Ovis aries: one gene and its partner. The protein of the gene in region 1 purifies or fractionates together with the protein of each later gene. This does not show direct contact. Links are inferred from orthologs where the notes say so. Each region holds a gene or a part of one and is shown on either strand. Other genes may lie near its edges. The genes, in order: core histone macro-H2A.1 and EZH2.

Evidence for each region.
Region 2: the proteins of core histone macro-H2A.1 (region 1) and EZH2 purify together in Homo sapiens (affinity purification with mass spectrometry; 3 studies listed by BioGRID and IntAct, with this or other methods). This does not show direct contact. The link is inferred for Ovis aries from reciprocal best matches to the Homo sapiens genes MACROH2A1 and EZH2.

Annotation. Positions count from the first base shown.
Region 1 is NC_056058.1:44,506,319-44,510,226, forward strand, and holds the start of core histone macro-H2A.1, read right to left. Parts: upstream 2,353-3,908; 5' UTR 2,140-2,352; intron 1,975-2,139; exon of another isoform or gene 1,807-1,974; intron 1,550-1,806; exon of another isoform or gene 1,366-1,549; intron 1-1,365. UniProt on the Homo sapiens protein: Variant histone H2A which replaces conventional H2A in a subset of nucleosomes where it represses transcription. Nucleosomes wrap and compact DNA into chromatin, limiting DNA accessibility to the cellular machineries which require DNA as a template.
Region 2 is NC_056057.1:113,168,669-113,172,476, forward strand, and holds part of EZH2 (histone-lysine N-methyltransferase EZH2), read right to left. Parts: intron 1,854-3,808; coding exon 1,762-1,853; intron 385-1,761; coding exon 144-384; intron 1-143. UniProt on the Homo sapiens protein: Polycomb group (PcG) protein. Catalytic subunit of the PRC2/EED-EZH2 complex, which methylates 'Lys-9' (H3K9me) and 'Lys-27' (H3K27me) of histone H3, leading to transcriptional repression of the affected target gene.

The DNA of each region.
Region 1 (3,908 bases):
AGCCTGAGATATACCACTCTCTGACCCTGGCCCACTGGGATAGACCAAGCCAGTGACTTATAGTTGTATGGAGTATAGAATGTCATGTGTGATGGTCTAGACAACTCAAAGTTTAATAAAACGTAAGCCATCCCATCCTCATTCTAAAGGCTCTGCCTCAAACAATTTTCACTTATTTAACCCCCTCCCTCCTTCTAAATACCTTTATCTAAGGATCAGTATTAACAATGGTAAGAGATCAAAACAGTAACAAAGTGGAAAGATTTCCTACTCTCCTCCTAAAAATACAGTAAATAAGATTTTAAAGTCTTGAGGATTTAGGAAAAGAGGAAGAAGGAAAAATAGGTTGAAAAATACATCTCTGTTCATTGGGGAGCCTCTTGTGCAAGACTGAGATGCCATTGCCCAGCTTTGGTTAGTAGTGTACATGTATTAATTCCAGGTGCAGCAAAGAAGGGTCCATTTCAGAGCTAATAACTCCTCTGAAAGCAGACCAGTAATCTAAAGGTGGCCCGGAGTAGGTGGATTCCATCTAATTCACAAATAGAGTCTCCCACTCATTTTAATTTAAAACTGTTCAAAATTTCCGGAGTCCTTGGAGCAGGAAATCTTGGAACAAAGCACTTTCCCCCTCTTTAATGATGAAACCTCAAACCACATAGGTAGAAGAAAGAGAGAAGCTAGCAGGAGCGCCCCTCTAATTGTCTATTCTTATACGCTGTTTATTCGATCATTAAAGTCTTACAAGGACTTCGTGGTAACTGTAATTGTTGAATTTAAGGCTTGTCTCAGCTCTGTGTCTCTTACTTCCACACTCGGGAAAGTATCTTTCCCTAACATCTTGTCTAAAACAACGTTTCAAGCAATCTACTGACAAGATCCTTCCTGAGTGATCTGTGGTCCCTGCCGTAGTGCAGATGGGACGCGCCATCCCGCACACCTGTTGTCAGGCGACATGACCAGCAGCATCCTGCGCACTCACCTCCTCTTTCCACCCCACCCCCCAGCGAAAGACTTCCCTCCTGGCCTTCTCCACTGGAAGAGCCTACAGCCTTCTGGAGTTACCTTGGGAAAAAAACAAACAAACAAACAAACAAAAAACAAACACCACCTCCCAACCACAAAGCAAACAAAAGGCTGTTCATAAAAATGAGAGGGCAGCGGGGGTTCCTGTGGCCCCTCCCCAGCCAGTCCCTGGACAAACCCCTCCCCACCCCGCCTTGGTTCCAGTCTTGCAACTACCCCCCAAACCCCCATCCCACTCTCCCAGCACACCACCCAGACGCCTACACCACCGCCACCTGGGGCTCGAGCCCCACTTATTGTGCCCTGGGCCGGCAACTCGCGAGCGGGCGGGCGCCTCACCAAGTACAACTCCGCGCACAACAGCTCCCGGGCGCCCAGGCCCAGGCCGACCGGCTCCCGCCGCGACGCCTCCCCCGGCCTCGAGTCCAGCCCGCCCGCTGCAGGACGGGTCACCGGGGCACGAGCCGGGGCTGTCTCCTGCTCACAAAAGCGCCCAGGCGCGGGCAGGAGGACGCGGTTCTAGGACAAGTTGGCTTCCGGGTTTGCTTTTTGAACAAAACCAAAGAGGATCCCGCGCGGCCCGGGCAGGGCCTGGGAGGACGCCGTGCGCGCGCGAGGCCCCGGCGTGGGCCGCGTTGAACCCAGCTGCCCGAGTCGGCCGTGCGCCGCCAGGTGCCCGCCAGGCCCGGCCGCTCCCATGCACCCTCGGCCGGAAGAGCGGGGCAGCCGGACCCGGGCGGCGGGGACGCGGCGCGGCGAGGGGGCCCAGGCGGCACTTACGGGGCGGCTCGGCGGCGGCAGCAGCAGCAAGGTGTCCGGCCTGTGCCCTCTCGGCCGCTCGCGCCTTTTCTCTCCGCGCTCCTCGCTGGCCCGCCCGCCCACCTCCTCGCTTCCCGCCTGCGCGACCCGCGCTCGCCCCCTCCGCCCGGCTCCGCTGCCGAGTGAACTGGAACCAGTCGCCGCGGCCCCGGGATTCCCACAATGCACAGCGCGCCGCTCGTCACATCCCATCCCGTCCGCGCGCGTCCGGCCACCCCTCCCGCGCCACCTGGGCGCCCCAGCCTTGACCCCAAGCCAGCAGCCGCGCGCGCGCGGGGGCCCTCCGTGCTGTACCTCCTGGACGTCGGTGGGTTAGTTTCCCGGCCGCACGGCGGCCCCAGCTCTGGTCCTCTGTCACCTGGCCTGGACGCCACACGCAGGGTCCCGCCCGAGCTGGGGACTCGCCCTGAGCTAAGTCCTGTGAAAGGTCGGGACCCTGGGTAGAGGCGCTTCTCCAGCGCGCGTCCCAGCCTGTGCGACTAGAGGAACGCTTATTGAGCGCCTACTGGGGCGGGCGAGGCGGGGGGGGGCTTTTCCTGCCGATCTCTAGAAGCCTTCTCATTAACGCAGGGACGGAGGCAAAATTAATGTTATAAGCAAGGATTTTTCCCTCCCCAACCAATGCAAACCTCCCTCGCACCTCAGAACCTCCCGCTGTCTTTGGACCCAAGCCCTTATCAAGCCTGGTCTTCCCCACGACCAACTGCTGCGCATCCGGCTCCCCTGGAGTTCTTCCCAGTGACCCCTAGAAGTCTGGATTGATTTGCTTTGTTGCATGGAAGCCGTTTACTTAGATTCAGCAAATGTTCACTCTTGGACCCAAGTTGAGATTTACTAAACAGTGATTCTCTTATCATCACACACATTTTTGTTTGCTTTTTAATTATTTTCCCTTTCCCTTTATTTTTAAAAATTAATTTAGTTTTGACTGAGACAAGCAGAAAGAGGGGCCCGCTGCAAAACCCAACTTGTATTTCTAAATTGGTTTTTGGCCTTAAGACCTTAGTGACCCATCCCAAGTTCTAACGTAAGAGCCCTCCGGCTCCTCCTCCTCTCCCCTCCATCTACCGAAGGGGGAGGGGGGAGGCATTAGACCCAGCTGAACCAAATTTAGATAACAATACAGACCCTGCAGAGTTGTTCTGAGACTGCTGAGTTGGTGGTGGAAGATTATGAGTCATTAATGACCACTCCCTTCCCTCAGGTTGCCCCAGTAGCAGTGGTGGTAACCTCCTCCCTTCACCACGATGCTTTACACTCTACTTCAAAAGTCTGCAAAGCAGTGTCCAATACATGCCATTCATTCATTAACTCAGTTAACTACTGTGGTCATACTTTGTGCCATGCACCAATTTGGGTGATGAAGATGAAGCAGTGAATAGAACAGGCAAAAATCCCTGAGCTCCAGAAGTTTGCAGTCTAGCTGGTAAAGAAAGATAATAGGCAAAAGAGGTGATGTATCAGATGGTGTAAATGCAATACAGAAAAATAAAGCTGTAACTGGCAAGAATCTTTTGTATTCTATTACAAGTTAATCACTAAAGGAGTGTTGCCTATAAGCTTAAATTATACAAAATGGCCCATTTCTTAACTCAAGGGAAATATCCTGACCAGGCCCACCTGTGAATGGCTTCTTGGAAGAAATTAACACATCCTCTTTCCAGGCTGACTAGAACCAGGAAATGTTTGACTTTACTCCCTTCCCTTTTAGTATAAAAGAAGCCTGAATTCTAACTCAGGCAAGATGGTTCTCTGGAGGCAAGAGTCCCCCATCTTCTTGGTTTTCTGGCTTTCTAAATAAGTCGCCATTCTTTCTCCCAACAACTCATCTCTCGATTTACTGGCCTGTCATGTAGCAAGCAATATGAGCTTGGGCTTGATGACAAAGCAAGGAAGAGGGATAGAGGTATAAGTTGGGATGGGGCTTCAAATTTTAGAAAAGGCCTCATGGATAAGGAGACATTTAAGGAATTGAGTGAAAGTGAAATTCACTCAGTCGTGTCTGACTCTGCGACCCCACAGACTATACAGTCCATGGAGTTCTCCAGGTTGGAATACTGGAG
Region 2 (3,808 bases), on another chromosome or scaffold:
GCAGCAGGGAGCCCCCAGCCCTGCTCCTGGGGGTCTCACCACGCTGGAAACTAACGGCTCAGCAGAGCACCCAGCCCCTGGCACAGCGCGGACCAGAGCAGCCCAGAGCCCCACAAGCAGCAGGGGCCTGGCCGCAGCCTCACCCGAGGAGCTCGAGGTCTCGTCCTTCTTCTCCTCCTCATCCTTGTCGTTGCTCTCCCCGCCAGTCTCAGCCCCCGCCTCCCGGTCACTGTCCGTGTCCTTCGACTCCAGCACATTGATGGTGGGGGTGCTGGGCCTGCTGCTGTTGTTGGGAAGCCGGCCTCTCCGGCGGCCCCCGGGGCGCTTCGGGGGGGTCTTGATCCGCTCGGCGGTGAGGGCCGCAGCGAACTCCTTCGCTCCCTCCTACAACAGCAAGAGCGGAGACATCAAAGTCAAGTTCTACAGCTCATTCTGGCAGAGGAGGAAGGAAAGGATTGGGTAAGCATGTTAGTCAGACTTATCAGTATCTGCTTTTCACAGGCAGTCACATCTAAAGACAATCATCTTCCTATCTGCTTTCCATGGTTTGAAGATTTGAGAAAGATAAATATGGCTTCTACAAACTCAGGCAAGACAGTTCTGTATTAACTGAGATTAGGAGTTAAAATACAGAATATATTTTAGGAAACACAGTCTATTTAAAAGTGAACTTTAAGAGGAGCCATACACCCAGTGTGCATCTAAAGTCAGCCTTTCCTGTCTCGGGACTTCGTAAGCTAACACTCGTTCATCTATGGTAGCATTGGAAGTATACAAGAAGAATACAAGACATACACGTGCTCCATCCGTCCCTTTTCTGCCCCCTTTCCCCTGTGAGGGATGCACAGCCCCAGGAAGACATGAAAGGCCCTTGAGGGACAGGCAGTGAGGGTCACAGTCTGCGCTGCCAGGCGCAATAACCCCATCTCGGAAAGTATACAACAACGGTAAGAGCACGGATTATAGAGACCACAGACACACTTTAGGTGAGCCAAATAAAATGCTGCCTTGTAAAGAATATTATACAACAGTGCTCAAGAATTCCATTTTTAGTGGCAATAGAAGGGAGAAGTTTGAGAGCAGCCAACAGTTTTATACTTCATTCTACAAAAACCAAATTGCTTAAAAATAGGATACCTTCTGTAGGTGCCATTCAATGAATCTTCTGTCCAAAATCCAACAGGCAATATATACCCACTTAGTTCCTAGGTAGGAGTGGCTTGGTTCAAAGAGGGGAAATGGTAAAAATAAGATAGTACCCATAAAAAGCAACTTTTCTACCTCATATTTTCCTACACCCTTACCTTCTCTCCATCATTACAAAAAAAAAAAAAAAAAAAAACACACCACACACACCCCTCATCTCTGGGAGCTACATATAATGCGCTAAACTACAGCAGGTCTGCACAGAAGGGCGATGGCTCTGAGCAAGGCTCGGACACTTCTGTGCTGCTGGGGTTTGGGCGGGCTCTCTGTGCTTCCCAAGCTCTAAGGTTGGCGGAAGGCACGAGAGTCTCGGATCCTAAAGACCTGCATCCACTGCTGAAGAGACTAACGCTGGTAGAGAATAGCGCAAGGTAACAAAGGACTAGGGTGTGCAGCAGGTACGAGCTCCCAAGAAACGTGGCTGAGAAAAACCTCTGCCTATCGTGTGGCCAGTAACAGTACGGGAACAGCAGCTTACCGCTGACTTCACAGATCTCACGAAAATTCAAAATTCAGACTTCTCCACTCCCTCCAGAACCCCCCGCATGTGCTTACCAAGTGCTGGTAACAGTGGGGGCCACAAGGCTTATTGTCGAGGGCCGTCTCTGTGTTCTTCCGCTTGTAAGTGTTGGGTGTTGCATGAAAAGCTGCAAAATAAACAGAAAACATCCAAACATAAAGTAAACTAGTTACTTTCTCATTCCTCCTGTTCCAAAGGAAAAAGTCAAGGACCCATCATCACACTCCTGCTAACATGTGGCTCACCTTCTGGAGCTTCCTTCAGGCTCACTGCACACTCACCATGTATCCCCTCAGCTCTCCCCCAGAACACCTGAGCTCTGATCATAAACATTTACTTGAGTCTTTAATGTCTCCATAGAAACAACTGATGTATCCTCTACACAGAAATCAGTTTCCTCTTTTCACCAGAAGAATCCTGACATCTACAACTTATTGATTTCTAAAGAAGTCAGCCCCTAGCTTGTCAAATGGGGGAACAGACTGGGACACCGCTTGTTAAAAACCTGGGTTCAAAGACAGTGAGGACAGCCTCGGAATTCTACAAGTCAGTTTCTACGAATCACACACAATTCAAGAACCCAGGGGGAGCCTGCAGTCAGCACTTCTGCAGGGAAAAATAGTAGTCAGATAAAACGGCTTTGGCAAGATATAGTGTTTGAAACTTAAGACGCCCAAATAACGTACCAGAGAGACTCACACTCCAGCACACTGGTGCCCTAACCAAGGATGGAAGCACAGCAGCTGGGCGGGACAGCCTGGGGTGCTGGCTTCCAGAGCACACAGGCAAACACCAGAAACGCCCCACCCAGAATCACACACGATGAGAAGTTATATGGATGAAAACAAGCGACGGATTCATGAAATAAATCACTCCAAAACATATATGTAAAAAGCCATCCTTCTAGCCATAGAACTTAAACGGGAAATGACAGGCTGATGAGGAGAGAAGAGAAAGGACGAACAAAGTTATGCTTTTAAACTGGAAATTCAAGGCTCCGGTCCCAGGTCCCAGAACAAGACTGACACCATATGACTGATTTCACCCTGGACTGGCGCGGGTGAGGGCCCCTAAAATGTCAACATAAAGGCTGAGCACATGGAAGGTAGAGGCCACATAAGGGGAAGGAGTTACTTCAGGCCAGACACAAGGTCATCATGAGCCAAAGGCACATGCGGGCTTTGAGCCTGGATGCCTCCTCCAGTACATGGTAGGTTTAGAGACTGATATTTTGCCGCAGTTCATGGAAGAAGACATATGTGGGTCTGTACACCCTCATGTACACACACTCTGGTCTCGAGAGAGAAGGTGTCACTAAGTCAGGACTAAGTGACAGTAGATGGAGTTGCAAAAGAGCTGGACACGACTTGGCAACTAGACAACAAAAAGTTACAGCAACAGTCATTTTACTTGAGCTACGGGAAGAGAATCTGAAAGGAAATTAAAGAACAAAAGGAGAGTTATCGGACAGTTAGATAGAACCCTTTCTTTAAAATGTGAGTTTTACCTTAGGTAATATAAATTTAATGCGATTCCAATAAACATACCTAGACTCTTTTTAATTTAGACAAACTGATTCTAAAATTTACATAGAAAAACGAAAATGGCCAGGAGACCTTGAGATGGCCAGGAGCCCCCAGACAGACAGCCTCAAGGAACAGGACCCTGGGATCAGAAGCAGAGCCCAGCCTCTGTGCTGACCAGGACCAAGTGCAGCTCCGGGCAGCCCCAGAGGGGCCTGCGGACAATGGTGGGGAAACAGCAGCCCTGGAGATGCGAGGGTGAGCTGGAGCTAAAGTCCTGACAGAGCAAACGCCAAATGGATCAAAGGGAGAAATGTTTAAAAAAAAATGTTTAAAACGTACTAAGGAAAAAGGTGAGACACCCTTTAAAATCTTGGAGTAGGGAGAGCCAAATGATACATTTAACTATTTCTAAATGTTTTGTTTTTTAACTTTGCTACAGGATTTTTACCAAACAAATGGGAAAAAAAAAACACTGCAACTCATCACAAAAAAACTAATTCCCTGACTATATGAAGAGCTTCAGGATATCAAAAAGACCACCAAAGCCAAAAGGATA